Struthio camelus: one gene and its partners. The protein of the gene in region 2 interacts with the protein of the main gene of each other region in a biochemical or structural test. Links are inferred from orthologs where the notes say so. Each region holds a gene or a part of one and is shown on either strand. Other genes may lie near its edges.

Region 1 (7,158 bases), on a different chromosome or scaffold from region 2:
TCTTTGGTTTATTCCTCCAGTTTGTTCTTCAAATACCTCACACAGCACATTACCAGAAGAGATGACAGTTTTGCACTGTTTTGTCCCTCCTGCTTTCTGAGAATTTAGGAACTCCTCCCATCGTAACACATTTCTCCTCAGTATAATCAGTTGTAAACAGTGACACCATTTCTTAAATCCTAAACTGAGTTTACAACTGTTTGATATCAGTTGGAAAACAAAACAGCTAGTGCACATTATCAAGTCAAACTTTAGTTAGCTAGCATACAATCCATTGCCATTTCAACAAGACCAAAACAGTGACAGCAGAAGACCTAAGTAATCTGTCAAGGAGAGTGTGAGTTCAATAGAAGTTCCTCCTTTCTACTGGAGGATGAAAAATAGCATGGAAGCATGCAAGTAACTAGCAAAAGATGATGATAGGGTAAAAATAACGTCACTGAACATGTTACATCTGTAAATTTGTAGAACACGGAAGTACATACACTGTATTATTCATTCCCACTGTTCCAACTCATATAGACAGAATAATGAGCGAGGTGGCAATAGTAAATTGGTAGTTCTATTTTTCTCCGTCTCCCCCGCCATCTCTACCATTTGTCCTCTCTTCACTAGATCTTTGAACAACACCAACCTTTTCTTCTTACAATGGATCTTGTTTCTTACCCCAGCTACAGACCTCTAGTTCTGCTATATATAAACAGGACATCTGTGAATTGAGCTATGCCCTTTATGACTCAAAACTCATGAGAAAGTGATTATATGATCTCTGAGCCTACATCACAACAGCAGCTAGCTGCTTCTCTGCCCTCTTTCTCATTTCCAAGCATTTCATCTTCAAATATCCTATCATCGACCACACTTTGTGCTTTTCAGTTCTTCTTAAGCAGGATTTCACAATTCTTTTACTCCTAGACTTACCATGAGCAATACACCTCACATGCCAGCCAAGTTTAAATGCACTGGGTTTGGGTCTTACAGATTTTCCCATTCTGGAATCTCTGGCTAGGCAGTTTGACTACTACACGAACTGCATACTAATATTAAAGACTATTGAGAAGTATTATTTAAAACAAACAAAAAAATTCCTACACAACACAGACATCCATGTAGATAAAGAGGCTCAGCATATCAGGCTAATAAAAAACTAACCAGGCCCGATCTCAGATACTCTGAAGCAAGTTGTCTCTCCCAATTGTCTCAAAGACTCCTTTCTCTCAAGGTATACCTCTATGAATCGCAATGGTTGTAAGCTAGCTAAATAACTTTTGCACGTTCAAGTTGTGGTCCTTCTGGGCAGAACTACTGGCAGCATGGGAAAAGCTTCCAATCTGCAGTTCTGAAATATGCCCAAAGGACAACGGCCAACACTCACCCAAGGATAACTTATCGGGAGTTACTGTTCTCTTCATGTTTGATTTCTCCCTTGACCCTCCCACTATACTTCCCTGTAAGCAAACTACCACTATCCATGAATTCCTAAGGAGAAGCTCGATTTGAATCACTTCTCTTTTCCATGCAAAAAACTCCAGGATCTTCACCCATTTCTGCTAGAGGATACTTGCTTGCACGTTCTTCCAAGACGAACTTGCACTCAACAAAATAAAGCAACTCGCTAAATCAAAGACAGCTAGAAGGGAACATCACAAAAGTAACTTCAGCTTGCAGTAGTTTACCATAGATATCCTCTACAGCAAAATGCTTTTTAAATACATCCACTCAAGCCACTGCTTCAGAACACGTGCTCTCCAAAACTTCCTCAAGGCGTTCTCCTTTCAAAGTGACAGTTAAGCAACTTGTAAATAAATGCATTACCAGCTCTACCCAGTCTACCAATCACGTGGACAGTGTCAAGTGTTAACGCTCGCTCCTGCTTCCTACCGTCTAAGTGTTTGAACCCTCCCTCCGGCTAAGCCCCCTGTAAAAAGGGATGACACCTGCAGGGCGTCCCTCTCGCTGACCTCTGCGGCACCATCCTCCCAAATTACCAGCCCAGAAACATTACTCAAAAAGTCGGTTAGGATCCTGGCTATCAACCGGTACGTTCTTCTGCTCTGCGCTCCCCACAGCATCCCGTATTAAGATTTTTTTTTTCTCTCGGAAACGGGGCGAAGGAAATCCCTCCAGCACGCAGAAGCCCCCGCGGGGGCGGTGGGGGGGGGGGGTAGCGGCGCCCCACAACGGTCCCGCGCTGCGGGGGGCGGGGAGCCCGGCCGCCGCTCCCCTCCACCCACACAGCGAGGTCCTGAGGAAGTGCAGATATATCGCTTTCCCGAGCGAAGAGGGAGATTTAAACACAAAAATTAAAAAGAAAAAAAAAAATCAAAATCCCAAGCGCCCCCACTGGCGCCGCGGGGGGGGGGGGAAGGCTGGGCACAAAGCCCCCCGCGGAGCCCTCCGCGCCCCGGCACCTGCCCGCGCCCGCCACCCCGCCCTTCCCCCCCGCCCCGCGCTGCCCAAACTCCCGTCGCGACAGCGCCTCGCCCTGTCGCGAGGCGCTAACCCCCGCGAGGCCGGGGGCGAGGGCAGATGGGCCACTTACCGGGCGTGCAGCGCAGCGGCGAGGCGGGCGACGAGCCCGGCGAGGAAGGGGGCGCGGGCGGCGGCTCCTTGGGGACGCCGGCGGCCGGGGAGGGGATGGCGGGGGGCAGCATGAGGTAGCGGTCGGGCTGCGGCAGGCAGCGGAGGCAGACGGAGTGGAGGCAGGGCAGCAGCTTGGGCCGCCGGCTCTGGATGGGCTGGCCGCACACGCCGCAAGTGTCCAACAGGTTGAGCGGGGCCGCCTCGCCCCCGCGCTCCGCCGGGCCCTGCCGGCTCTCGGCCTCGTTCTCCCCGCTCAGCGCCGCCGCCCGATCCGCCGGGCAGGGCGCCGCCGCCGCCGCCGCCGCCACCACCACCGCTGCTGCTGCCGCCGCCGCCACCGCCGCCTCTTCCATTGTCCTGCACCAGCCGCCGCCGGAGCGCTGAGGGGAGGCGGGGCGGCCCCGCTGCCCTCGCTGCCGCTGCCTCCCTGCCTGCCCACCCGTCCGCCCGCCCGCGGCGCCGCGCCGACCCCCGCCCCCGAGCGCGGGCCGCGCTGTTTGTGTTCCTAACCCGGGCGAGGGCTGCACCCGCCGCGCAACATGGCCAACGGCCGCCCAGGCCCCGCCCCCTCCCCTCCCGCGCCACCGCCCCGCCTCCCTTTCCCCCCTCCCACCACACCACGGGGCCCCGCCCCCTCCCGCCCGCCCGGCCCGCGGTCTCGGCCCCGCCGCCGCCGCCGCCGCGCCTCGCCACAGCGCCCCGCCCCCTCGGCCCCGCCCCCTGCCGGGCTACGTGCGCCGAGCGCTTCTCCCGCCCCCGCCGAACCCCAACGGACCCGCTCGCCAGGCCCCGCCCCCTGCGCGGACGGTTGGCGCGGCCCTTCCCGCCTTCGCACCCCTGGGCGGCCCTAGGGCTACCCACCTCCCCTGGGGCCTTCTGCCACCCCTCACCCCATCCCCCCACCCCGCCCCGAGCCACACATCCCGCCTTAGGGGCGTCCTGCCCCGCTCAGCGCAAGCTGAGTGAGCTCAGCGAGCCCAAGCCCCCTATCTGCTCACCCCCGACCTCAAATGGCCACCTTGTCCTTTCGGTGAGGGGCCCGGCGCGTGAGGCGTCACACCAGGAGGGACAATCCGGCGCTGCTCCCTCGCCTCACCCTCCGCCGGGCTGCGGTGTGCGTGTCAACACGCGGGCGGCCGAGCCGCTTGGCACCGGGGCCAAATGGGCAGCCATGTCCCCACGTCCTCCAGACTCAATTTGGGGCAGAGGGTTTTGCCCTCCCTTCAGAAGTCACTAAAGAGGTTGTTTTTGTCCCTCATTTTATGTGTGGGTTGTCTGTGTAAATGTTGGCACTTGGTCAGTTTGGCATGTTTTGTCCACACAGCCATTTGCGGGTGTAATAACTCTCTGAAGTTGAGAGGCAATCAGTAAAAAGTAAACTGTAAAATCTGATTTAGACTCAACATTTTATTGAAATAAATGCTCATCCCCCTTCTGCTACTTAAGAAAACATGCAGACGTAAAATAACTGCTTGAGTGTTGGTCACAAGTCAACAGTAAACTGATGCAAACTCTTCGACAGCTCTGCTGTCGGGGGGGCGATGCGTACCAGAAGACGATTAGGAGGAGCAACAAAGTATTCCCTCAGTGCCAGAAGCCCTGGGAAAGCGCGCATAATATGAAGACTCGTGTCAGTGCCAAGACGGACAGGTGCCCGTGAGCCATCAGAATGCAGATATTGAAACTAGGGCAAGGACGTGAGAGAGGGAAGATAATCTTAGTGCAGAACGCGGCTTTTATTAATGTAGCAAAGCAAGTGTAATCAGTAAACACAGCTGTATTCTTACATAATAAGGGTCCGGTATGCAAGAGAGGACGAAATGTGAAATAAATAATCTTGCTTCACCATACGCAAGGTTCGTGTCTTCATCCCCACAAATGGTGCCCAAACAGGGACTTGAAGAGTGAAATCCGGTGGGGAGCCCAGCTGAACTCGATAGAGGCTGCGCAGCATTTGTTACCATTACCTTCACGGAAGGTAAGCAGCTGGGAACATGGGGAATTCTGTATCATCAGAATATAAATCTGTGTACAAGGTTATGCAGCGTTTTTTAGAGAAACGGCGAGTAACTGTAAAGGAAGAAAAAGGAGCTTTCAATTTGGATTGCAGCGCATGTTGACGAAGCTAATACGAGTAATATATATAGTAAGGGGACTTGGGATACCATTGGGGTGTGTTTGTGGCATGCTGCAGCCTCGGATGATCCCGTCGCCCCTTCCTTCTTAACTACTTGGTGACTTGTATTTAATGCATTAGATCAGAATCACCAAGAAAGTATGCAGAAGGCAGCTAAAACGCCTTCTGCTCCTCCTATGCGGAGCAGTGAACCTGCGGAGCCATTGGATCCTGGCCCTGTAGACCCTAAGAAAGAACCAGATCTATTTCCTCCGCAAACTCCTGAACCTGTTATATCAACGCCGGTTGTTACGCCTGTACCTCCAGTAGATCGATGGAAAGAAGCGCGAGCCCAGGCATTGGCGGAAGGAGACCTTGAGTGCCTTCAAGCCGTCACAATGCCTGTCCTCCTGCGCGAAGGTCAAGCCCCCACTTGGGAAGGTTTTCCTTTTGTCTTAATAAAAGAACTTTGAAAAAGTATCAAAGGCTCTGGGCTTGCCTCTCCCTATGCATGGGGCTTGATACAATCGGGTTTTAATAATATGATTTTAACACCTAATGACTGTTGTACGCTGACTCAGCTTTTGTTGACCCCCACGCAGTATATGTTATGGCAGCAGGCATGGCGGAATAATTGTGATCAAGCGGCTGTGACTAATTTGGATCGGCAGCCAGGAGATCCGTTGTATGGAGTAGGCACCGCGGTACTTTTGGGGGAAGGCCCCTATTGGGAACATACAGCGCAGTTATGCATTCTCCGGGGGGCGCTGGCGCAAAGTCAAGAAGAGGCATTAAGAGCATTGTTAAACCTCCCTGATGAAAATGGGAAAGGATCTAAGTCATTTGAGACGATCAAGCAGGGTGCTACTGAAAACTAAAGGCAGTTTGTCAATCGCCTTCATACTGCATTGGAAAGACAAGTGGATAATTCCGAAGCTCGAACAATTCTATTAAAACAAATGGCAGACCGATATTACTCACATCCCGGACTTTGGTGTTTTTTGCTTTGTCCATGTTTCTCTGGATACCTATTCTAATTTACTGTTTGCCAGTGTTCATCGCAGAGAGCGCGCTTGGGGTGTCTGCGCTCACTGGACGCAAGCTTTTGCTTTTACGGGTGTGCCTCATACCATTAAGACTGATAATGGTCCCACATATGTCTCTGTGAAAATTCGTTCTTTTCTTCAAGCCTAGGGAATCCAACATTTAAATGGTATTCCACACAACCCTACCAGGCAAGCTTTAATTGAACGTGCCCATAGTACTTTGAAACAGATGCTCTCTAAACAAAAAGGGGAAACCGAGGGGTATGGGACTCCTCAAGAGAGAGTGGCAAAGGCCTTGTATGTCCTTAACTTTTTGAATCGGGTCCGTGATGAGCAGACCCCTGTTGCCTCCCATCTTAACTCTTTTTCACATCTTCTTCCCTCAGGACAGGCACAAGTTATGATCTGTGATCTGGACTCCGGCCAATGGAAAGGACCTTTTTCTCTGATAACTTGGGGGAGGGGTTATGCTTGTGTTTCTACAGGTACCCAGCCTCGTTGGTTCCCTGCTCGGTGTGTTAAGCCCTATGAAGTACCACGCCAATTTTGTAGCGGAGAATCTGAAGAAGTCGTGGCGTAGTTCTGGGAAATAATATGTTATTTCCTGCAATAATATGCTTTTGTGTTATGTCTGGAGAAACAACGGACGTGGGCAAAGGGATGTGGCCCTCTGTCTCCGAACGACCTGATCTTTGGGTAACTATAGCCAATGCCACAGGACAGGACACTGTTTGCCTGCCTGTGGCTTCGGCTGCTAACCCTTTTCAAACTTGTCTGGTGGGTCTTCCAACAGACGGAAAAGTATATCAAGTTTGTAATGGTACCCCTGCCGCCCTAACGGGCTGTAGTCGGTGGGGTGATGTTTGGGATGGTTGGACGCCCTACCTACCGGTGTTACCTGGGGAACCACAAGAAATAGAGTTATTAGGTTCTGTGCAGATGGATCAATGTATATATTTCAATTATACAGGACAAAATTCCTCTCAAAGGGGAATCACTGTTGTTAATGCTACTTTAGCTGTTTATCGCAATACAACTTTATGGTGTAATGTAACTAGTACAAACATTTCTAAATCCAGGAACGACCCTTTGAAATTACCACAAGGAGTGTTTTTGATCTGCAGCAATCGTGCCTGGCAGGGAATCCCATCTCGCGTCACGGGTGGTCCGTGTACCGTAAGAACATTGGGAATGTATTTGCCCAATTCGACAATGATTCTACAAAAACGACAAAATCGCACTAGACGATCTACACATCTTTTTCAAAAAGATTGTAGAGATTATCTTACTTTCTGGAACCCAGGAGAGATTATTACGGCATCCATTTTTACTCCTGGGGTGGCTGCTGCAAATGCTTTAGCAGCCTTAAATAAATTAGGGTGTTGGCTTGCCAATCAGACTAATAATACTGCA
Region 2 (7,685 bases):
AGCACACACACGTGCACACGCGCACACGCAGCCGGCGCGGCACCCGAGGCACCAAGCACACACACGTGCACGCACGCACACGCAGCCGGCGCGGCACCCGAGGCACCGAGCACACGCACGTGCACGCGCGCACACGCAGCCGGCGTTGCACCCGAGGCACCGAGCACACGCACGTGCACGCGCGCACACGCAGCCGGCGTTGCACCCGAGGCACCGAGCACACCCACATGCACGTGCGCACATGCAGCCGGCGCGGCACCAAATGCACCGAGCACACGCACGTGCACGTGCGCACACGCAGCCGGCGCGTCACCAAATGCACCGAGCACACGCACGTGCACGCGCGCACACGCAGCCGGCGCGGCACCCGAGGCACCGAGCACACGCACGTGCACGCGCGCACACGCAGCCAGTGCTGTACTGAACACACTGAGCACGCTCACACACGTGCACACACATGCACACCCAGCCAGTGCCGCACCGAATGCGCCGAGCACGCTCGCACACGTGCACACGCCTGAACGCACAGCCGGCGCTGCCCCGGAGGCAGGGCACGCGCACAGGCGCGTGGAGACACCGGCAGCGCCGGCTGCGCGCGCATGGACGCGGGCACCCGCGCAGCCAGCTCTGCACACAACGCGGGGTTCGCGCGCTCACAAGCGGCGCTGGGCAGGCTCGCGCGCCCCGCACCGGCTGCGACGCGCCCCGCCACGCATGCGAGCGCCAACGCAGCCCGCAGGCACGCGGGACCGCCAGCCCGGAGGGGGCACCCGCCCCCACCGCCGCAGCCGGTGCAGCACGCCTGGGCCCCTTCGTGCCCGGCGCGGGGCTGCAGCCGGGCGCCCGTCCCCACCCCGCGCCAGGGAACCGCAGCGCTCGGGCCGGCGGGGGCTCCCCGGCCCGCGGTGCCCAGGACGGGCCGGGCTCCGGCCCCCCGGTGCCCCCCAGCAGGAGCGCGGGGCAGGCGGAGGGGGGCGCGCGGGGCCCGCGGGGAGCGAGACGGCCGCCCCGGCTTCCCAGGGGGCCGGATACGGCGCCGGCAGCCCAAACGCCTTGGAACGTTCCCGGCGGCTCCGGATGCGCCGCCGGCCCGGCCCGGCCCGGCCGGGGCGCCGCCGCCGCGCAGCTGCAGCACATCTGGCGAGGGCGGGCCGGCAGCCGCGCTGGGACGGGAGGTGCGCGGCGCGGCGAGGAGGGGGCCGCCCGCGCGGGGCTCCTCCGCGCTCTCCCAGCCCCGGCCCCGGGGTCGGCGGCCCTTCCCCGGACGCCTGGGCTCCCTCCCAGCTCGGACGCTGACCCCGCAGCACTTCCCTTCCGCGGGGACGTCGCTCCCGGGCCAGCGCCGCACCGAGGGGGACGCCGGCCCCTGCCCGGCGTGCCGGGGCCGAGCGCGAGGGCTCTGCGCGGCCCCCCAGATCCTGCAGCTCCCCCGGGACCCTGCGGACTCCCGGAACAGCATCCCGCGGGACCCCGGCCCATCCGGACACGCGGCATCCCGGGACTCTGCATTTCCCCAGACGCGGCATCCCCCAGACACGGCCTTCCCCGAAATCCCGCTGCACCCCACAGGTGACACCCCCCGCCCTGCCCGCAGTAAGGCCAAAGGGAAACTGAGGCACGAGGCACCGTGCCAGCAGGGAGCCGAGGCGTCCGGGCGCTGGGGCACCTCCAGGCCTGCCCGACACCCCGGCGATGCCCCCCACACCGTCCCCAGTGCCGGGGAGCGGGGGGGGGGGGGTGAGCGCACCCCCCCCGTTCCCACAATGCCGTGCAACGGGAATGGCCCCCGAGCAAGCGCGGGGGAGGGGCCCCACCCACCGCCACCCAGTGGCTGAACTGGTCCCACTAGGTCCCAGTGCCGTCGGGGCGGCTCCGGCGGGGGACAGCGCCCCAGGCCGGCCCTGCCCAGGCCTGCACCGGCCCCCCCGGGCAGGGGCCGGGCCCCGCCGCACCCCGACCCACGGGGGCCTCCCCGGCGGCGCGCGCCCCGGGGCGCCCGGGAAGGGGGCTGCCCCCCGCCCCGGCACCCCACGGCACCCTGGGGTGGGGGGGCACAGGCGCGCGGGGCAGTGCCGCCGCCAAGCCCGCTTCCCTCCCCGCCGGCGGCGCTGCCGGCCGGCCGCCCCCTCCGGAGCCAGCGCCGGGGAAACTGAGGCAGGCGGCGGGCCGAGGGCTGCGAGGGGGGATCCAGGCGCGGCCCCCTCCCCGGCTCCAGCCGCTCCCGCGCCGCGGCCGGTCCCCGGCCCCCGTGATGGACGAGCCTGTCAGGGGCAAATTGAATCAGGAGCAGACGCGATGATTGCGGTTATCGCTTCCCCCGCAGGCGGCCGGGGCCGGGGCCGCCGCCGCACCGGGGGGGGGGGGGCGAACAAAGAGCCGGGGCCGCTTCCCGCGCCGTTAGCAGCCGGGGTACAAACACCGCCCTTAACGAACGGGGCCAGGCTGCGGCGATCAACCCCCCCGGTGGCCACCACCGTGCCTCAGTTTCCCCACGGATGGGGGGGGGGGGGAAGGGTCCCGGCGGCTCCCCAGCGCTCGCCCCCGCGCCGGGGCAGGACCGCGGCGGACCCGGGGCCCTTCGTGCCGCGAGGGGTTTGCTTATCCTTTCGGCCCTTTTGTTTCCTGTTATTGCAGCTATTTATAAAGCTCAGGGCGGGCGAAGCGGCGGGGGGGGGGACGCCCCCCGGCCCGGCGGCCCCCGGCGCGGGGCAGGGCGGGGGGGAAGCGGTGGCCGGCCGGGTCCCCGCGGGCGTCCCGGAGCGCGGCGGTACTCACTGGCGGGCGAGGGCGTGCTGTATCCGCTGACGGGCAGCTGGTGCGGGATGCCGGCCAGGGTGCTGGGCGGCGAGAGCCCCCCGATCATGTGGGGGAAGAAGAAGGCGTAGTGGGGCACGGGGTAGCCGTTGAGGTGCCCCCCTGCGGGCGTGGGGCAGGAGCTGCTGTTGCTGGCCATGGCGGGCGGCTCCGGCGCGGCGGCGGCCTCACGTGCGGGGCGCCGCGGCCCGGCAGGGCATGGGGCCGCCGGCCGGCCCGGCGCGCTCACCACGGCCTCACCGCTGCCCGCCGGCGGTCCGCGGCGCGTCCGGGGGCCGAGGAGGCGGCAGCGGCTCCGGCGACGGCTGCGGAGGGAGCAGAGAGAGGCGTTAGCGGCGGCGGCGGGGCTGGGGCGCCCGGCTCCCCCCCCCCACACCCCGACCCCGCTCCCGCCCGCCGCGGCCGTGCCTCAGTTTCCCCAGGCGCCGGGAGGAGGCAGCCGTGCGGGGCCGGCCCCGCGCTGCCCGCCGGGTTAACGACGCCGAGAGCCGGGGCGGCAGGTCTCTAATGCCCGGCTTAGCGGGCCGGGGCGGCGGAGGGGCACCCCCGGGGCAGGGTCCCCGCGCGCCCCCGGCCCCGGGGCGCCGCGAGGGAGCCGCCGCGCTCCGGCGTCCACCGAGGACAGCGGCTTCGCTCCGGCCCAGCTCCCCGAGGACGCGGGGGCAGCGGCTCACGCGCTGCCCGGCCACACGTGCACCGAGCGCGAGGGGGCTCAGCCTCGTGCCTGGCCGCGGCCCCGGGGGCCGGGGCTCACCCAGCCCCTCTCCCCACCGCCCCGCCGGCTCTGCCCAGCCTCGAGCCACCCGGCCCAGCGCAGGGGCCGGCGCTCGCCCCGCGCCGCGCTGCCGGCGGCGGCTCCCGCGCCGGGCACGGACCCCGCGCCAAGCCGGGCCGCCGGCGAGGGCGGGGGGCCGCCGGTGGGAAGGGGGGCACGGGGCTTTCACAATCCCGGGCTGGCTGTTTATTTAAGCGCTGGCGCGAGGCCCGGCGGGGGATGTTTATTTGCCGAGAGCGCTGGCTCCCGGCCCCGCGGAGGCGGAAAAGGATCCAGAGGAACAAGGCTGGGCCGCCCGGCGAGGCGCTGGGGAGGGGCCGGGACGGGCACGGCCCTGCCCGCTCCTCGCCTGCCCCCCGGGGCCGGGCCGGGGTGCTCCCGGCCACCCCGGGCAGGGTGCACCCGCCGGCAGGGCGCCCCGCGCTCCTCCCGGCCCCGGCGGTGCCCGGCGCCCGCGCTCCGGCTGCCCGCCGGCGTGGGTGCCCAGGGCAGGCGATGCCGGGGTCCCGTCCGCAGCCCCGCGTGGGTCACCCTGCCGCGGGGCACGGGACACCCCCTGCCCTGGGGTGCCGCCGCGCCGGGCCTGCGCCGGCCCCTGGGTGCAGCCCCCCCCCGGCGAGCCCAGCCTGGCGCCGCCGGGAGGAGACGGCCTTCGCGCGGGGCCGTGCCCCTGGGCAGCACCCGTGGGTTCCCCGGGGGCGGCGCAGCAGCCACGAGACCCCCCCCCCCCGCCACCCTGCACCCCGGCAGCGCCCGGCGCGGGGCCTGCCCGCGGGCCCCCCCGGAGCCGGGCCGGCCGGGGGGAGCGGAGGGGAGCGAGGCGCGGGAAGAACTGTTTATGTTCGCCGGTGCCAAGTGCTTGCCAGGCACGGCGCCAGGCTCCGGCGGGGCCCAATTACTCAACCCTGCTCACGCCCCCCCAGCGCACCGCGGGCCTGGGAGAGAACAGCGCCAGCGCCGCCTGCCAGGGGCGGCCCGACCGCCGCGAGCCCCCTCACCCAGAGGGGACGGGGGCAGGCGGCTGCAGGACCGTCCCGGCCTCTGCGCGCCGCCGCGGGCGGCCAGGAGGGCTCCCGAGACCCGACGCAGCCCTGCTCCGCGGCCCCAAAGAGGGTCCCCATCCGTGCGCTGGCCGAGGCAGAGCCTGCTTAGCTTCGGGCAGGGGCTGGCCCCCCAGCTCGGCCCCAGCCCGGCCACGCTGCACCCCAAAAGCAGCCGCAGCTCCTTTGCGGCGTGCTCAGACCCTCCCGGTGCCCGGCCGGCCGCGGGGCCGCGGCACGGGGCTGGCCACGAGGTCCTGCGTCGTCTCCTCTCACCGGCACGCCGTGCCAGCGAGGGGGCACAGGCCCTCCGGCTCGCTGCTGCTGCCCACCACCAGAGGCGAGGGAAGAGCCCGGCTGATCCCCCTGGACCACCGCGCTCCGCTCCCCACGCTCAGGGCTCCAGGCAGCAGTCCCGGAGGGACCCCGCTCCAGGCAAGCCCTGGGGGGGCAGCGGGAAGGTGGGGATGGGGCCGCACAGCCGGCGGCGGGGAGCCCCGCGCGGTGAAGAGCCCCCTCGCCCTCCCCAGCCCGGCCGGGCAGGCGCCTTTTCCTCCAGTTCCCCGGCAGGAGCTGGCCGGGAATCGGTACTTCCTGGAATCCAGAGCCTCATTCCAGCCCCGCAGAAAACAAGGCCATGGAGCTCGGGCCAAATCCCAGCCACGAGGAACCTCCCGACCAGGCTGGGGGCGGCCCCAGGGAGCGGACGGACGCACGGACAGACGATTCCCATGCCCAGGGTCTGCCGGCAGCCCCCGCGCAGCGGGGCAGGACACATTGCTGGGGTCCCCCAGCCCCTCGAGCCAAAAAGGCCCAAGACCAGGGCACAAAGCCCACCCCACTGCCCGCGCTCGCGGGGCAGGGTCGCATCCAGCTCCCCCGCGCCCGGCACGGCCAGCGCTGACTGCCGAGCAGGAGGGCTTGCAGCGGGGCAACGCACCGCGATTCGCGTCTCCAGCAGCCATCCCCAGCACCACCTGCCAGCCCTGGGAAGGGACACGCGGCATCCCCATCCTGCCCCATGGGGACCACGGAAATGCAGGGGGGACCGTCCAGGCCAGGAGGGGCTGGCAGGGAGGGTGCAGAGCTGGCCCAGCCTCAGCCAGCACCCCAAAACCCCCAGGCGCGCCGCCCGTCTCATGCCACCCAACCCAGGCGTGCTTCCTGCCGGGGCCGCGCGGCGATGCCAGCACCAGTGCCCCGGATGTGACACGCCAGGGAGCAGGGCCGGGGTGCCACCCGGCGCCGCGGGCACCGCCCTGCCCGGCTAGCACCGCGGGGGCCACCGGGGCCAGGGTAATGGCAAATCCAGGCTGCGCTCTTGGTGCCTATCGGGACAGCGGGCAAACCCAGTGACCGAGCCCTTCCTGTCATGCCTGCGACCGCAGCGCTCCCGGCCGCAGCTTCCCCTCGCCGCTCTCGATTCCCGGGGCCGCCGGGTTTCGGTTCAGCTCTGGCCCCACGCCACCTTGGACCCCAGCCGGGGCTGCCCCGGCCCCGCTCCCCGCGCCGGGCACCCCGCGGCCCCCGGCCTCGCCAGGACGGTCACGGGGGCACCCCGAGCCGCAGCCGGGGCCCGCGCCGCGGTGCTGGGGGACGGGGCACCGGTGCGGCGGCTGCGCCAGCAAGGGGGGCGGGGGGGGGGGGGCTCTGGGCACCCTCGCCGCCTCCCCCACGGGCATGGCAGGAAGCGCCCGCGGATCCGCTATGCGGTCACAGCCTGCGGTTTCCTCACTGCTGTCAGCAAAGCGGCCGGGGCGGCCTCACACGCGAGGCCGACGGCCCCGGCCACCCCGGTGCCTCCCCAGCCGGGCAGCCCCGGGGCCGCCGCGGCTCCGCCAGGAGGGGCGCAGCGAGGTGCCCCCCGGGAAGGGCCGGCGGCGAGACCCCCTCCCTGTATTCCCAGAGCATCCCGGCCTCTGAGTCAGCGTCACGTTTCTCACGTCCCCGGGCAGGCGTGAATCATGCCCCAGCCGAGCGGATGTTGCTGGGCCGGAGCCGGCTGCACACGCTCCAGCACGGGCAGCGCGTGCCGCAGCCAGGGCTGCCCCGGCCCCGCCAGGGCGCAAAGCCACCCCGGCCAGCGCGCTGGGGGGCAGCTCCGGCCCACGCAGGAGTCTCCAGCACCCCAAAGCCCCAGCACCCCATGGGCCAGCGGGGACCCCCATCCCCGGCAGCGCCCCCCAGCCAGACCCGCTTGGGCAGCCTCCGCTTCCCCTTGCATAGACAAACCCGGGGCCGGACCGGCACACGACCGGGGAGGGCCCCGGTGCTGGCTGCGAGCCCTGCGCTGCCCCATGGGGACGACGTCCTGCTCCACATCGTCCCCGAGCACGGCGGTCCCTTGCCCACCCCACACCAAGCGGCGTGCCACCCTGCTTCCCCATCCCCGCCGGGGCGCAGACAGGCGCTCCGGGGAGCTGCCGCCGGCCCCCACGGCACGGGGCCCCCGGCACCCCCCATGTGCCGCTGCCGGGGCTGGAGCTGCAAAATGAAATTCCACCTGTCGCAGCTCAGCCTGCCCGGCTCCGGTTACGGCCAGGAACGCGCCGCTCCGGTTACACCTCCTACACCCGCCACCAGACGCGCCATTCTTCTCTGGCAACAGGTGCCCCGGCCCCCGCCGCGGCCCCCGGGACAGGCACGGCCCCAGCTGAGCCGCAGTGGCCCCCGGCCAGCGCCACAGGCACCGCTCCAGCCTGGCGCGACCGGCACGGCTCTGGCCTGGGTGCTGGGCTCCCAGCTCTCTCCGGAGCCCTGGAAGGGGGCAGCTGGAGCAGGGTTGCACCCCAAAAGGCTCCAGCAACTCTTGGAAGTCAACCCTATCTGCCAGCCCCTTGCACTGCAAGCCTGGGAGCCCCCACCTCCGTACCCCACCGTGGGCACAGGGCTCCCAGCCTCCGCAGCACAACGGAGGGAGCACCCATCCCAGCCACCTGACCCCAATCCAACAGTGCAGTCCCTCAGCCGAAGCCAGGGGTGCAGCCCCAGGGAACTACAGATCCCAGCATGCACCAGCCCTGCCCGGCGCCCCCCTGCTGGCATGGCCGGCCCAC
Region 3 (7,870 bases), on a different chromosome or scaffold from region 2:
TTTCAATTTTTGTACAAATTCAACCCAAACCCCTATATAGGGCTATGCTTTGAGACTACTCATTCAAGCTTGTGAAGACGACAAAAGTCCTCTCAGTTCCAAAAAGGTGACAGTTCTTAAATGTTGTAGAGTCCACTAAGCACCTTCTTTCTTACCAGAGTTCTCAGACCAGTTACACTTTTTCCCTCCTATTAATTAGTCAGGAGACTAGACAATTAAGAGTTTCATGAGCTTGACACACCATCTAGAACCAAACCTTAGCATTCAGCTATCGATTTGTACAAACTAAGGAACATATCATGTGGCTCAAATGTTCAATTATTTAAAATATGTAGTTTCTTGCAAAAGAACACTAGTGATCTATTCTGGTGGTGACAGAAGAGTAGGTAACACTGGTAGAGTTAAACATCAAATAAAAGACAAGGTGACCATTCTCTTCGTAAAGCAAAGTTGGTAATCTAGCCAACAGATGGAAAATATCACACCTGGATTTGGTGATGCATCCTCTCTGCCTCAAGTTTGTGTTTGTCTAGAATTATTTTTTCTTTCCATTTCCTCCCCTTAACTTTTCCCATTCTCCATATTGTTTACCCCAATTTCCTCTCTAGCCCAACAAAAACGAGTTTATGCTTGAACACAATTTGTGCAATGCAAGACATTTTCAAGGTTAAGTGATGTTGTTCAGCGGTCTACGTATTAACAGACCTGTACTGTTTACCAGTACCATTTACTATACACTACAGGGTTTGTATTTCTCAATAGGGACCACATGATTTTGAAACAGACACCAACATCACGCCTTCTGCCTTTCAGAGGTATGCTAACGATATATACAACTTCATTATTCCCAATGCAATCAAACTGTTACAGCCATTTTAACTCCTTTATATCTTCAGTAGCAAATCTTTTGCCATTGTAAATCTTATAAATTCAGTGTGTCTATGTAACTTAACTGTGACTACAATTATCATCTAAAAGCAATCAACATAGTATTAGAAAATAATAAAATATACTGTAAAGCTGTTTAACAATTCAGTTATCAGTTTAAAGTATTCAACATCTGCAAGGGTATGCAATATCTGACGGTATTGTACTTAAGAAGACCAAAGAGCAATATTAAGATTGCTTATCAGAATTTAGTTCTATACCCCAATATTTTCAAGTATTCAAGCAACTGAAAAATTAAGACACGAATACTTAGTTTATGAATGTCTGGTTTTCCCAGGTTTCCCACACTAAAAAAAAAAAAAAAAAAAAAAAAGGATGCAGCCTTTTCTCTGCTAGAAGAGTGTAAAATAACAGCATCAGTTGGAAGCCTTTTGTAAACAACTCCTCCCTGCAAGTTCTACAGAAGAATAAGTCTTGATGGCCTTTTTTGAAAGATACAAAATTTACGTTCTTTGTGGTTGCTTTCTCATATGTGAAATACTGAAAGATACTTTTGTTTTATATCTGTAAAGAACTAGCCAGAAAGGCTGCAATGAAAAGTAATTGTGAAATAAGTATCAATATAAGAGGTACTGTCTTTCCTATAACTACAATTCAGATTAGCTTATTCACAGTTCAGTAAAGGTAGTAAGCCCAAACGTGCATGCATCTGGAAGGTGAGGGGTTATGAAGTGTTAAAGACAAAGCTCATAAACTAGAATTTGCAGCCAGCTTTCAAAACCAGAACAAGCAGAGTGACAGGAGAGCTGCCACTTCCCGTTTCCCCTGTTCCCTGAAGACATCAGAAGAAATCGGAACCCTCCGTTTTCTGAGATGTTCCAAAAAGCAAGTGAAATTCAGAAAAATGCAGAAGTCAAACCACGGGAATAAGATAAAAATACCTTTTTTATTACTATTTTAAAGAGATAAGGAAGAATGCAAACAAAAGTTTGCAATCAAAGAAACGTCAGTGCATCTTCACTGACATCCCCAAATGATGTCAGTGCCTGCATGAGCTCAGGGCACGGAAGTTAAAATAAAAGACCATGTCCTCAGTTAAAAAAATAAAGTTCCTGATAGCACTCTGACTGCTTTCTAGTATTAGCAAGAAAGACTTTCCTCCTCCAAGAAATAAAAGACTCTGGCACAGCACAGCAGAATCAGCCAGTTACCTCCTTTACCTTGGAGGGATCAGTCAGTCACAGGCCACAGCCAAAGGCAGACTATTACTTTTAGGTTTACACAGGTTACAGCAGCACAACAGCTGCAGGAAGAAGCCTTTGAGATCTAAGTGCAGGGAGAAACACGGCTACTTTTAAGGAATCCCACCTCCAGGAGCCACCTCCTGACGTGTGGCCGGTCCACCTAAGAGGCTGGAGGCCACGGACGCCGGCAGCGGGCTGACACGGCGGTCCGGACGTGACCGCGGGCCCGGCGCACAGCCTGCTCCGGCGAGGGCTCCCCGCCAGCACCGGGGAAGCAAGGCAGCTCCGCGCACCCGCACGCCACGGAGGCGGGCAGGGCCCCGGGCCGCGCTCCCCGCGCGGACGCTGCTCTCCAGACGAGCCGGCTGGGCAGCCCCGCTGGGGCACCCCGGAGCCTCCCGAGGCCGGGGCCTGCGCGTCCCCCCAGGCGCCCGGCACGGCCGCAGGCTGGGCTCGCCCGCACGCCACGGGGCGCCCCGGGCGCAGACCCCGCCGCGCGGGGGAGGCCGCCGCCGCCGCCGCCGCCGGGCCCGGCCCAGGCGCCGCGCCGCACCGCCGGCCCGCGCCCTCCCCGCGACGGGCTCGGCCTGCTCCCCGGGCCGCCGCCACTACCGGCCCTCTGACATTGCCGGGGCGCCGCTTCCGCTCCGCCGGCCTCTGTCAGCCCCGCGGCCGCGGCCTCGCGCTCCCGCCCGGCCCCGCCGGGGGCTGAGGGAGCCCCCCCCCGCGCCGCGCCGCGCCGCGCCGCGCCGCGCCGCGCCGGCCTCACCTGCCGCTGGTGCCGCTGGTGGCGGCCGCGGGGCCGCCGCCGTGCCCGCTCCGCGAGCGCGCGCGGGAGGGCGGGGGCCGCCTCGGCGAGCGGGGGCGCGCGGCCCCGCGACGGCAGCGGGCGAGGAACGGCCCGGGGGGGGGGGGGGGGCGGCCGAGCGAGGGGAGGGGGCGGGAGGTCGCCGTCGGCCCTGCCGAGCGCCCGGGACACCCACCCCGCAGGCCGGCCGCGGCTCCGCCTCCGCCACCGCCTCCGCGCGGGAACACGTGACCGGCCCCGCCCCGCGCCGCCAGCGCGCGCGTGCGTTGGAGCGGGCCGTGCGCGCGCCCGCGCCGCGGCGGGAGTGGGCGGGGCGCTCCGCGAGGCAGGCGCGCGTCGTCCGCCTGCCGAGGGCCTGCGGGCCGAGGGGGCGCGCACCCCTCCGCCCCGAGAGCCTGGGGGACGTGCCGGGCCCCCGCGAGGGGGATGCTGGTTTCCTCACCCGCAAGAGCCTGGGGGACGTGGTGGGCTCTTGCGAAGGGGGACGCTCGTCCTCTCACACTCGAGAGCCTGTGGGATATGCTGGGCCCCCTGCTAGGGGGACACTCTTCCCCTCACCGCTTGGGAGCTGGCGGGATATGCTCGACCCCCTGCAAAGGGGACACTCATCCTCTCCTCTCTGAGGCCTGGGGGGACATGCTGGGCCCTCACAAAAGGGACGCTCATCCTCTCCCCCTCCAGAGCCTTGGGGACATGCCAGGCCCCTGTGAGGGGGATGCTGGTCCCCTCACCCCCAAGAACCTGGGAGATGTGTTGCTCCCCCCCCCCCCATGCAGGGGTCGCTCTTCCCCTCACCCCTTGAGAGCCTGGGGGACATGCTGGGCCCCCTGCAAAGGGGACACTCATCCTCTCACCCCTCTGAGAGGCTGTGGAGCCCCCATAGTGGGGCCCCCACAGAGGGGGAGGGCAGCCTTTACCTAGCACCTTATTGTGTGTACCCTCCCTCACTTGCCTGCCAGCCCCATGTCCCCAGCACAGACATGCAAAGGGGAGAGTGTTCCACATTTAGAGATGGGGACACTCCCGCTCCATGCACGTGTTCATCTCCACACTGCTGCTCAGGGTGGGGTGGGTTTGTGCCCTTCCTTTCTCTATACACAGGGAGTTTCCTCTCTCACTGTCCTGTATTGTATACACGCCCTTCCAAAGGGAAAGCCTGATTCCCCATGGAGAAATTGTGGACACTTTTCCCTCTACTGAATGTGAAGGGCTGTACGCCTTGTTGAAAAGAGAGACAACTGAATGTCCTCAGGAGTCCGTCCCTGATCTCCCTTAGGGAGACCTTGATTCCTACCCCTTGGAGAGAGCATCTTGGAAAAAGACCATCCTCTCCTTCTCTGAGGACGCCTCATCTTTAAAAGATCCCCGGAGAAAAGCCCAATTCCCACACTCCACTGAGACACTGGGGAATGACCTACCAAGCATAAACATCCTAGGGACACCCTCTCACACATTAGCACACTGAGCGGGATGCTCTCACACAGAGTCCCTTTCTGGGAGACCCTTGCCTCCTCATGCCTTTACGGACTGGTGAGTCACAGAATCACAGAATCACAGAACGGTTGAGGTTGGAAGAGACCTCTGGAGATCATCTAGTCCAACCTCCCTGCTCAAGCAGGGCCATCTAGAGCATATTGCCCAGGATCGTGTCCAGGCGGGTTTTGAATATCTCCAGGGAAGGAGACTCCACTACCTCTCTGGGCAACCTGGGCCAGTGCTCTGTCACCCTCCCAGTCAAGAAGTTTCTCCTCATGTTTAGATGCAACTGCCTGTGCATGCAGATGTTCTTGGGGAAGACCGAGCCTCTTCCACTTAGGGGTCAAGACAATCCCCTCCTAACATGGACCCAGCCTAGACCCTACTCTGCTGAAGCTCTAGGGATTCCTCCTTGTTTGGACAGCTGTGGGGAAGAACATTCCTTTCTGCAGACTGGGAAGGGGTCAGAGATATCCCTCCCCAACATGTATGAAGACAAAAATCCCCCCTACAGGTAAGGTGGCAAGGAGAGTCTCAGCAGAGATCACGGCAGAGAAGTGGGCAAAAAGTTATTTCCCTTTCTCTTTGAAGAGAGTCTATCTCTTCCTCTGGCCACACATGCAGAGCTTCTTCTCTAGGTGTTCCCAAGGGGAGAAACTTTCTGAGCTTGGAGCATGGGAAGCCTCCTCCCTAACTACTGAAAGAAACATCCAACAGTTCTGCATTGCAGCACATGAACGTAGATCGCTGGCGTATCAGGTTAAGCCATGAAACCTAAATTAAAAGCCATTTTTCTCACTAGCGAGAGAAACTGGTGGACAGCATGACTCCTGTTAGATAGCCCTAAATACTGTAGCTCTTAGCCCAGTGCAACTTTTTGCAAGTGAAAGCGATGCGTCCTTCACAAGGTGAAAGGGCAGTGGGAACATGTATGCAGATGTGTTTGACGATGCGGGCTTTCAATAAAGCCTTTCCACATTTGGAGAGATCCCTTGCATCACCATTCAGATGACTGATACTTCACTTGTGATAACTTTGGAGGCTGTGGGCTTTGTATCCAATTCTGTAAATTAAGAGAGACATGGCGCTACTGGAGAGAGTCCAGCGGAGGGCTACAAAGATGATGAGGGGACCGGAGCATCTCTCCTCTGAAGAAAGACTGCGAGAGCTGGGCCTGTTCAGCCTGGACAAGGCAAGACTGAGAGGCGATCTCATCAACCGTGTACAAGTATCTGAAGGGGGAGTGTCAAGAGGATGAGGCCAGCCTCTTCTCCGTGGTGCCCAGCAACAGGACAAGAGGCAGCGGGCACAAACTGAAACAGAGGAAGTTCCATCTGAACCTGAGGAAAAACTTCTTGACTGTGAGGGTGACTGAGCATTGGAACAGGTTGCCCAGAGAGGTAGTGGAGTCTCCTTCCCTGGAGATATTCAAAACTCGCCTGGACACGATCCTGGGCAATATGCTCTAGAGGTCCCTGCTTGAGCAGGGAGGTTGGACTAGGTGATCTCCAGAGGTCCCTTCCAACCTAAACCATTCTGTGATTCTGTGATTCTGTGAAATTAGTAAAAGGTATTTCCTGGATGAAGCTATAAAGAAAAATCAATACCTTTCCTAAAAATTAGCAGGAAACAAAGTTTGAATACAGATAGTACCTTTCATATGAAGATTTCAGACTTTATAAATATCAAGAACTTATATCTTAGTCTACTACTGGGGAGATGGGGAAGAAAGCAGAGAGAGAACTGAAAGATTCAAATACAGCAAAGGCCACTACAGTGAATTTTTTTAAAAGTCCATTTATCTGATTAATGAACAGGACCACAGTCTTGCAGTCCTCTTGCATGTGGGCAGATGTTTACTTCCTAAAAAGACACAATAACACAGAAGGGCTTTACAACAGAGATTTACTCACACCGAACAGCTTGCAAGACATGGAACCGTCCCAGGAATTTGCTCTTTATCCTACAAACCTTTATTAATATGAAAAATGCTAAAATAATATCGAAAGACAGTGATACTGCAGAAATGTCTGGTTTTCTTCCTGCCAGTCACTGCTTTAATCAGAAAGGTATGAGCCAGTGGTGGTAAAGCAAAGAAAGACATGGCAACTATTATTTAAGGCTGATAAAATAATCAAAGGTCTAAAGAGAATATTTTGGGGAAAAAGTAAAGACCTTGATCCTGCAAAAATATGTATGATTAACATTAGTAACTTGAGCACTGACTTCAAAAGGGGATAGTGTTGTCCTGGGAATCTGACTTACTCTGCTCATATCTTTTGAGACAGGTTGAAAACATGAGGAAGCTGATAAAACTGCAAGCTGAAAGACTTCTTTAGTATCTGAGAATTACCTTTCTTCCACGCTTCTCTTCATACCTGCAAGGGGTGCTTCTCAACCCGGATGCATTTAACTTCCTCCTTGTAAACAGCCTAATCTTCCTGAAAAGGCTAATACATTTCACCAACTCTTGCACAGAGTTAGATCACTTAAAAAATCTCATGCTTCCCATAAAACACTGCTATCTTTGTTGTAATTACAAACTTAACGCAAAGTTTTCCTTCAACTTTTTTTTATTTGCTTGTTTCTGTATATATTATCTACATTGATGCAGGGCACATCTTGTACACTGTAGCAAACAATAAAAAGTAGAACAATTATTTTTCAGACTGAGTTTTCAGTCTGAAAACTGAAAGTTTCTGAGGCACAATATTAATATATTTCACTAAGTTCTGCTCTAGTGATCTAGATGCTATAGCTTTCTGATCTGGACTTAAGAAGCTCTATGTAGATAACCTTCCTGTGTCTAATCACACATGGAGGTTGTGAAAAAGCTCTTCCTTCATTTGCAGCTTGGTGTCTCATATATCCATTTTGGACTTTGTAATATGCTTCTCCTGATTGCTTTTTCTTATGCTTCTGCTTGCTGTTGTAAATGGCCAAATAGACACAAACTCGGCATGATTATAATTAATCCCCATTCTATCAAAGAGGTGTAAATCAGCTTTGCCAAGAGTGTAAGAAACTAAGGGAAGGATAGAGCATATATTCAGCTGACTCAGACCTGAAGGGACATCAAGGTGAAAGGACAGGTCTGAGTGAGAAAATCCTGATGAGAGAGTACTGTGGTGAGGCATCTCTGTCCGACGCTGGTGGCTAGAGGAACCAAAAGAGGGTTTTACCCTCCAGTATATTGCAGCTAGTGAAAGACCTTTATCTCATTGGCTGCTAATGCATGGAGCAGGAGACCAAAAGGCAGATGCCTGCTGGTGGCAAGAAGGGAATAATGTGATGTAGAGGACTGTGGTGGGAGGAAAGGGGACTTTCTCCCATTGAACTTGGCAGTCTGAGGAAGCTGTGGGAGGAGCTATACAGGATACTTCAAACCCCACTGCCTTGGCTTCCTGATGCCTTGTATGCACAAGTGGACTCACCTCTGCAGTGATGTGAGCTG
Region 4 (7,947 bases), on a different chromosome or scaffold from region 2:
AAAGGAAGTCAGTTGATACAACTGCCTGCATACGTGCCCCAATTCATTTGACTATCTTGCAAAACTTCTGAATTTCCTGGGTAATTTCAATCAAATTTTAACAAAATGGTAACAGTTATAAAAAATATTTTGTCAGATAAAGTTGTGTACATCTATAGATGGTAGGGTAGAGGAAAGATAATCGCTCTACTGAGGAGAAGTTGCCATGTTAATTTATTACATACAAGGAAACCTATGTATTAAGCAAAATCTATAGGAAGTCAGACTTTAACTTTTATTGCCTATGGCACTACTTGTTTTCTACACACATGAGGTACTTGGATAGCACAAGAACAAGGTGAACAGATAGATGCATTTTTCAAGGCATCAGCATTACCTTTTTTATGTATAGCAGTAACTGTAGAATATAGTAGTAACTGTATTGATGCAATAATTCAACACATCTGCAATGAAAGCAACTATAACTGAGGAAATAATGGAAGGGTCCAACGAGCAACCTCTATTTGGATTTCATGGCATCCAGAGGCTTTATGAATGTTTTTAATAGGGAGATTTGGCTTAGAATACATGCTTAGTGTACATATAGGATATCTCAGGGAGTGATTAAGGAATGTAAGTCAAGATGATAATAGTAGTCACATCTCTGGCCGGTGTCTAGTCTTAGTTATCAACATGTTTAGAAAAGTCTATTAAAGTTTATTCTGAGTTAAATTTCCATGAGTTAAAATGGAAGCCATGCTTTTTCATTAGGTCATTATCCTCCAAGAAAATGTTATTTTACTAGGTTTCTGAATACATTGCAAGTAGGGGAAAACAAGTAGAATCAAAGGCATTTTCAGTTTATATTTCAACCTAAGAATCAGATTTCTGGAAAAGGTCCTTAATATTACGTTATAAGTTTTTCTAGAAGGTCAGATTTCATTTTATTCTGTATACAGGTTACTGGGTAAAGAAAAAAAAATTTGACTTTCGTATTCTATCAATACTTGTATTTCCGCTGCTGAAAAAACCACCAAGCTATTTTAGCTGAAGGCAAGGTTATCTAGCCATCCTCGATTTGGGGCAATCAGCCATCAAAAAACAATTCCTGGGAGTAAACACTACAGTTAGAGACATGCAAATAAATGCTAGAGTTATAAATAATAGTGCTACACATGAAAGAAAAACAAATCAAAGGGATTTCTACATGAAGCAAATCTGTATTATGCCTCCTACTGAGTTGTTGTTATATCTTCATGTACTCTGTTTGGGGGGTTTGTTTCTTTGTTTTTTTTCTGTAAGCAAAGCCAAGCCAAGCCACATGTTCCAGCAGGGTAAATCAGGTAAAGTCATTTGTATTTCTTTTAATTTTTGGAAACAGCCTACATTCCTCTGTGTCTTACTCTCTGCTCTAGTGTACCAGCGTAATATGTCTCTCAACCCAGAGCTCAAGATGATTTAATATAATTTAGTATTAAAAAAAGACTTGTTTAGTTTTAAATTGTGTGACACAGTTGAAGATGCTGCTAAAAGATTTAGATTCTGCTAAAAGAAAAAAAAATTAAACAAACTGTTACTAAAAATCAAGTATATTTTTCATATTAATTTATGACAAGGTTGCCTTTGGCAAACGGTCAACTATAAGGCTTGAGAGGTGAAGGAGCATTAGCCTGCTAAAGGCAATGAAGGTATGTTGATCTGCACCAGTATTTGATTTGGCCAAATATTTGGAAGGGACAATTACAGCTTAGAAACAGGAGGTCTCTTGCTTAAAGGGAGGGGCCTTGTGCAAAAGTTAGAACTGAAATGCTGCTCAGACAATAAGCTTTAGTCTTCCATGAACCTCAGTGAGGATTCATTTGGAGTAACATTTGGTGCTGTGCAGGAGACTAAAGATGGCCTATTCTTCAGCCAAGTTCAGTTATATTCTCCCATATTTAGGGCTCCCATAATGCCCATGGCTCTTGCTAACTATCTATAAAAATATATCTTTAATTCCCCCTCACACATACACACACACACACACACACACACACACACACACATTTCCCCCTCCCCCCATTCTAAAAAGCTAAAAAGAGGAATTACATAGGTACAGATATTGAACCCCTGCAGCGATCATTAGTTTCCCAGGGTGTCCTGGGTATCAAAGATTAGATCCAACACATATTAGCATTAACCTCGTTGAAGTTTAGAGTCATTTCAATCTCAAGTTAAAAATCTTTAAAACATTAATTAGGAAATGTAAATATATTTGCAGATTCATACATGTCCTTCAAAAAGCATGTAATCAGTCATTTCAGTTAGTACAGCTGCACTGTCAGAAATGCAAGAGTAGATTTCCTATAGAAAAGCACCTAAAACAAAAAGAAAGGATGACAGTAACATATACACACACATTAGGAGCCCTTTTCTCCATATAAGCTCCCTATCCATTAAAACTGTAATTCATGAACAACATCAGCAACAAAATAATACTCCTTAAAATTTTGCTAGAAATTGGAATACAGAGTGGACACTGTAAAATGAAATGCAGCAGAGTAAAGAAACTCTCTGCAGTCAGGCATAGGAGCCTCATAAAAGCTACAAAGTACCATAGACTGTACTGCCGTAATTTACTTGTCCCTCACTTTCTTTTTATCCTATGCAAGCAAAAGCGGCACTGGAAATTATAGAGCAGGCAAAGCAGAGCCACACAACTTCTGAGATGTGGCAGCAGCTTCTGTACTGAATTCTTACATTACATACATTACATTAACATTTCAAGGCCTCACAGATGAGACCAAATTCAGAGAAGTATGTATATGAGAGGTATATAAAGGAAAAATAGATGAGATCAGACCATCCTAAAGCGTACCCCAACTTGTTTCCACCCACTCAGAGTATCAGGAACTATAATCTAAACTGGTGTAGGCTACATACCAAGCAGACAAAAGTAGATATGAGAAACGTATGGTTTTGAGTGGCAGATATCTATTTTATGATATTTTCTGTTGCTCTCCAGTTTCTTTTTCCCCACATCTGCTCTTCTTGGCTCTTCAGACACAACACCTGGATATTTGGGAAGACTAATTTCAAAAAATGAAAAGGAGTTACTTGTGTTTCCAAGGGTAGGGGGTAGAGGAATCACTCTTCAGATGGCATATAACTCCCAGAATTCAGAGAAAGAATTAGGACAAAATGTCAGTTATTCGTTCATAAAAAGAAAGCAAAACATTAAGACAATTACTTCCTTAGTGATATCCCCATTCGACACAGAAAAATCAAATAAATTTGCACCCCTCAGTAGAAATTCATCTACTTATACCTATTACTGTCCCAAAAATTAGCATCCAGCCTTTTAGACATACCAGCCATATACCTTTACCTGTCATTACACCCTTGCAGACCGGAAAGAAGCTGAACAAGTAAACAACGAGAATTATGGTCTTTAAACCAAAGGAATGGAACTATATTATGGTCAATAGTGAGGACAGCAGGATCCAGGTTCCCTCTCCCAAGAAGGATAAAGAGACTGACCCCAGAGCAATTTCAACCAGTGTGAAGAGCCTTATGCTTCTCAAAACCAGACTCACAGAGAGCACACAGGACAAGGGCACTTCACTGCCAGCACAGCGACTGCGCATCTGCACCTCCGAATCACAAGCCCGCATATGCCACTTCTCCTCATTGCTATACCCTGAAGTCCTCATTCAAGCCACATTGTTGTTCAAGCTAAGGGGGATTACCATTGGGGACCTATACAGCAAAGAATTGGTGATCAAGCATAATAGACAAGTCATTACCCGAACCTAATAATTCTGCAGTAGAAACAAAATGATGTTCATGTTGATTTTTTTTCTATAATCATTTCATATTGATATAGAAAAGTTAAGATACTGAAAGAGTATTACTCACAAGAGGAAATTTCTCCTGTCCATTCTACGTACATGTAATTTTTAAGGAATGAGCCAAGGGTATGGAAATGAAAACTAATGAACTCCCTGCCAAATATTATAGATTCCCTAAGTTTAACGCCCTTTTCATAATCCGCCTCTCACAAAAATCACAGTGCAGGTTCAAACCTAATTCATTAACTGCACCTCTTTAGTTAAAGACTATGCAGCATGCAGGCCTTTTGCTTATTTTTTTAATTCAAAGGCCGAGTAGGACACTTAAGGTGTTTTAATAACAGCCCTATATAATATCTACTTTTTTCCAGTGTACACAGTTTGACTGTGTTTTTTGAAGGGATAAATAGAGGTTTTTGAATTCAGTGATCGTTAGACAAGTACAGCACAGTATTTCTGGGTTTTTTTAGAGGCAATATTGACCAAAGACTATTTTCTGCATAAAGTGACTCTTGCATATAGTCATAGCCTAGCACCAATACAGTATCGCTATCCATGTCTGACAGGCAGATTTTCAAACTGCATGGATCAATTAGAAAGTCATGGGCAATAGTCAGCAGGGGAAACCTCACAGTCTGTCTAAAGAATACAGTTTTCGGCAGCCCATGCTCCATGATGTACACTCATGATCCCCCTGTAACTCAGGGAACATAACTTTACCACTTGGAGACCATACTGCATTGTGGAATTCACTCTCACTGCCCAAGACACTAAAAATTGTTTGAAATCAGGTTTGTCAGCTCCATTAAGAGAAACAGACCTTCTCTCACCATCAAGACAGACCCATAAAAGGTCTTACGTAATGCTAAATACTAATGGCCTTTGCACTGCACAAATCCCAAAAGGCAAAGCCAGCAACCCAATTACTTTTTTTTTTTTTTTAAATAAAGAAAAAGTAGCCAACAACACTTTCTAGACAATGAAACTGTAAGCGTGCTGGAAGAGAGAGAGCTCTGTGCTTTGCCACTTGCCTAACTCTCATTCCCACTTACCAGTCTTACCAGGGCTTTGCCTAATACAGCATTTTGCAGCTGCTCAAAGTGCAGATTTCCCTCCCTCCCCACGTAGTAGCTGGGAAATGCTGGGAACCAGCAGCTGTGGAGATCGATGTTGGCTAGGCTGAGCAGAAACGCTAAGGCATTTCTCATCACAATTATGCAGAACCAAATGCCGTAGCTGTTAATCAAGCATAACTCAGTGGGAGCTTTGCTCAGCTGAGTAACAGAGAGTTTGGCTCATTCTAGCTGGAGGATTAGAGCAGCACAGCAGAAGCCATTCGGTTCTCAAAACGGAGATTAGCACCCTCTCTTAGCACACGGGAAAGCACCCTTCCCCTGTCTTCACCTCTACCAGTCCCTCTAACCAGGGGACTTCAAAAGGAAGGTGCATATGAATGAGTGATACTGAAAAAGCAGGGACCAAATCACAAAGGAGCACGGGGCATTCACTTTTCCTTTCTCTTATCCCAGCTTGCATGCTTATAAACTCTCTTCTCCTCCTGCCCTCAATAGCTGGAAAACGACAGCATTTAAGTCCAATCTGAAGCATAATCCTAGCATACTTTCTAAAACCCTTGTGTAGCCTCCCAGCCATACAATGACCTGTGGTCAGTTTGTTTCCACTATTGTGATCCTTCTCCTAGGAGGCTCTGAGTGATCCGGGTAGCTAACGTCCTGAAGCCTGAGGTCTCTGCTCTTGCAAAACTCCAGTCAATGTAGAGAAACTAGTTAATAGGGGGGGGAAAAAAATAATTTACCAGTTGAAAAAAAATTAAAACTTTTTTTAAAGTTATATTCATTTGTCCAAGTGAGTGGATAAGGTGCTCAGAACAGGTGCATCCTGAGCAGGAGAGGACATCATGAGAAAGTATCCTAGGCTGGAAAGAATATACTGCAGACACAAGTGCTAACCATGCCATGGTGTGCTTTCTCTAATGTCACATTACTCTTTCTTCGGGCTCCTTGGTTACTCAAAGAATCACTTTCTCTGGAGATCCTGAAGATCTCATCCTGTGAAACAAGACAGACGGAGGTAGTAGAATTGGACCAGGCTGAGCAGGAAAGGAATAGAAAGAACTAATATTGTTGATGTTTGCAGTTACAGGCAATTATTAATTTTTTTTCCTGTTTTTGAAAATATTATAAGCCTATATCAATAATCCTCATAGAAAACTCCAGCAAAAAATATTATTTCTACTTCTTGCCACTAAGGAGTTAAGACCTAGAAACTTTCATAATCAATTTTATTTCGCAGTGAAATTCATTTCAAACCAGATCCTAATACCAGTTTTGAAACAATCTCTAATCTGTAGATTGCAGAAGGATTTTTGATCTCCATTTTAAGCTGGAGAAAATGCTTCTTCTCCCCCTCCCTCTAGCACTGGAAGGTTGCGTAACTGGCAATACATTTGCATCTATTTTATATTTACACTAACTCACTGCTTGGAACTACACTTGCATTGTTTCACGGCTTATTTATTTTCACAAACAAGTGCTGTAGAGACTTGCATTTGCGCACTTCTGTGGTCCCCCTGAATTCAAGGAGATTATTCCCAGTGTATAGAATTAAGCAGTACATAAATCTCTGCAGGATCTCAGCCAAAGAGACTGTTTCATTAGGAAACAATAATGAGACATAGCCTTGTGCTAACTCTGTGAGCCAAATTCTGTCCTCAAAGACACAGGTTTGGTTGCTTTTGGGAAGGGGGCAGTTGCCAAACACCCCTGGGATGCAAGCTGGCCGCCTGGCCAGCCACCCCATGGATGAACATAGGGTGTAATTTGGGCATGGGTCTGCTCTGGGCAGGGGAGCAGGGGCACAAGATGACCTCTGTGCCTCTCCACCTGCAGAAGGACGAGTTATATTTCACAAAGTATTTGGTGATCAGTGTGAAGACATGGTGGCACTCTGGAGGCAATATAAATGCATTTTTGGCCTGGCACTCCAGCTAAACTTAATTCACTTCGGTCTCTCCTCCTTCCATTGTCTTCCAAGGCCCTCATTGCAATGGGGATCACATCATAGGAACGTATCTATATAGGTTTAGGAAGCACGTGCAACTTTTTATAATAAAAGGAATAATAGATAGCTTACATTATTCATAACGTAACTGATTTCATTTGCATTATGCTTTACTTTCCAGATTTTTAAACAAGGACATCCTAATAGAACTGTACAGGCAAATTTCTTCTGAGATTCATGCTCTAGAACAAAAATAAATGTCTTCCACAGAAATAGTTATTAAAATGAACATTACACATTGTTAGATTGTGGCCTAAATTGACAAGGTTAAAATATAGTCCAACATCTTCTGTCCTGCATCTTCTGTCTCTAACAAAGAGAATAGCTATAAAGCTTTAAAACAATGACAGGGGCAAAAAATAAAGTGTCAGGCACATTTAAAAAGGAAAGCAATACACATCTAAAAGCTCCCCTGAAATAGTGTTTGATGGCTGCTTAAAGAAAAGGAAGCGCCTTTGAGTCAACCCAAACCATCTGTGAAACAGTAAAATGGAAGGAAAAAAAGCCCAGAACAAACCCAACAACAGAATAGCCAAGGCAACAAGAGAGTGACTGGAGGCAGACAGGCGTTGATTCTCTCCTTTAAAATTCACAATCATGTGTTTCTTCCCCAGAGATGCTGTTCACGTGCAGTGGCTTCACAACATTTCCTCTAGAAAAAGAAAACATTGCAAGTAAATATGTTTGCATTTGTCACTGACTACATAGACACTCAACTAATTCAGGCGAGTAAATCTGTTTTAAAGGCTATCACTGATAATCAGCTGAGAAGAAAACACCGATCTTCAACCAAAAACCGACCTGATCTCTTGCCTCTTCTATTGAAAGAGCCATGGAAATTACAGACCCTCCTAGAAAGAAAGCAGAATCAATGGAATTCTTCATTCTGGATACTTGAAAAATCTGTTATCTTCTTTATATTAATCTAGAATTTTCTTGGAGTACAAAGCAGGAAAAAGGAGTTCTCTTATTCCTTTTTGTTTCATTTACTCCTGTCTTCCTCAATGTCAGTAAAATTCTTGAGAATGACTTTTTTTTTTCTTGCAGTCATAAGGCA

The links.
Region 1: the proteins of RARA (region 2) and TRIM24 form a complex in vitro, tested with the Homo sapiens proteins (3 studies listed by BioGRID). The link is inferred for Struthio camelus from reciprocal best matches to the Homo sapiens genes RARA and TRIM24.
Region 3: the proteins of RARA (region 2) and NCOA6 form a complex in vitro, tested with the Homo sapiens proteins (3 studies listed by BioGRID). The link is inferred for Struthio camelus from reciprocal best matches to the Homo sapiens genes RARA and NCOA6.
Region 4: the proteins of RARA (region 2) and NRIP1 form a complex in vitro, tested with the Homo sapiens proteins (4 studies listed by BioGRID). The link is inferred for Struthio camelus from reciprocal best matches to the Homo sapiens genes RARA and NRIP1.

What each region holds. Positions count from the first base shown.
Region 1 is NC_090942.1:64,646,460-64,653,617, forward strand, and holds the start of TRIM24 (transcription intermediary factor 1-alpha), read right to left. Parts: upstream 3,012-7,158; 5' UTR 2,937-3,011; coding exon 2,543-2,936; intron 1-2,542. UniProt on the Homo sapiens protein: Transcriptional coactivator that interacts with numerous nuclear receptors and coactivators and modulates the transcription of target genes.
Region 2 is NC_090966.1:6,907,193-6,914,877, reverse strand, and holds the start of RARA (retinoic acid receptor alpha), read right to left. Parts: upstream 3,009-7,685; 5' UTR 2,954-3,008; coding exon 2,776-2,953; intron 1-2,775. UniProt on the Homo sapiens protein: Receptor for retinoic acid. Retinoic acid receptors bind as heterodimers to their target response elements in response to their ligands, all-trans or 9-cis retinoic acid, and regulate gene expression in various biological processes.
Region 3 is NC_090959.1:623,508-631,377, reverse strand, and holds the start of NCOA6 (nuclear receptor coactivator 6), read right to left. Parts: upstream 3,001-7,870; 5' UTR 2,902-3,000; intron 1-2,901. UniProt on the Homo sapiens protein: Nuclear receptor coactivator that directly binds nuclear receptors and stimulates the transcriptional activities in a hormone-dependent fashion. Coactivates expression in an agonist- and AF2-dependent manner.
Region 4 is NC_090942.1:112,855,394-112,863,340, forward strand, and holds the start of NRIP1 (nuclear receptor-interacting protein 1), read right to left. Parts: upstream 3,003-7,947; 5' UTR 2,902-3,002; intron 1-2,901. UniProt on the Homo sapiens protein: Modulates transcriptional activation by steroid receptors such as NR3C1, NR3C2 and ESR1. Also modulates transcriptional repression by nuclear hormone receptors.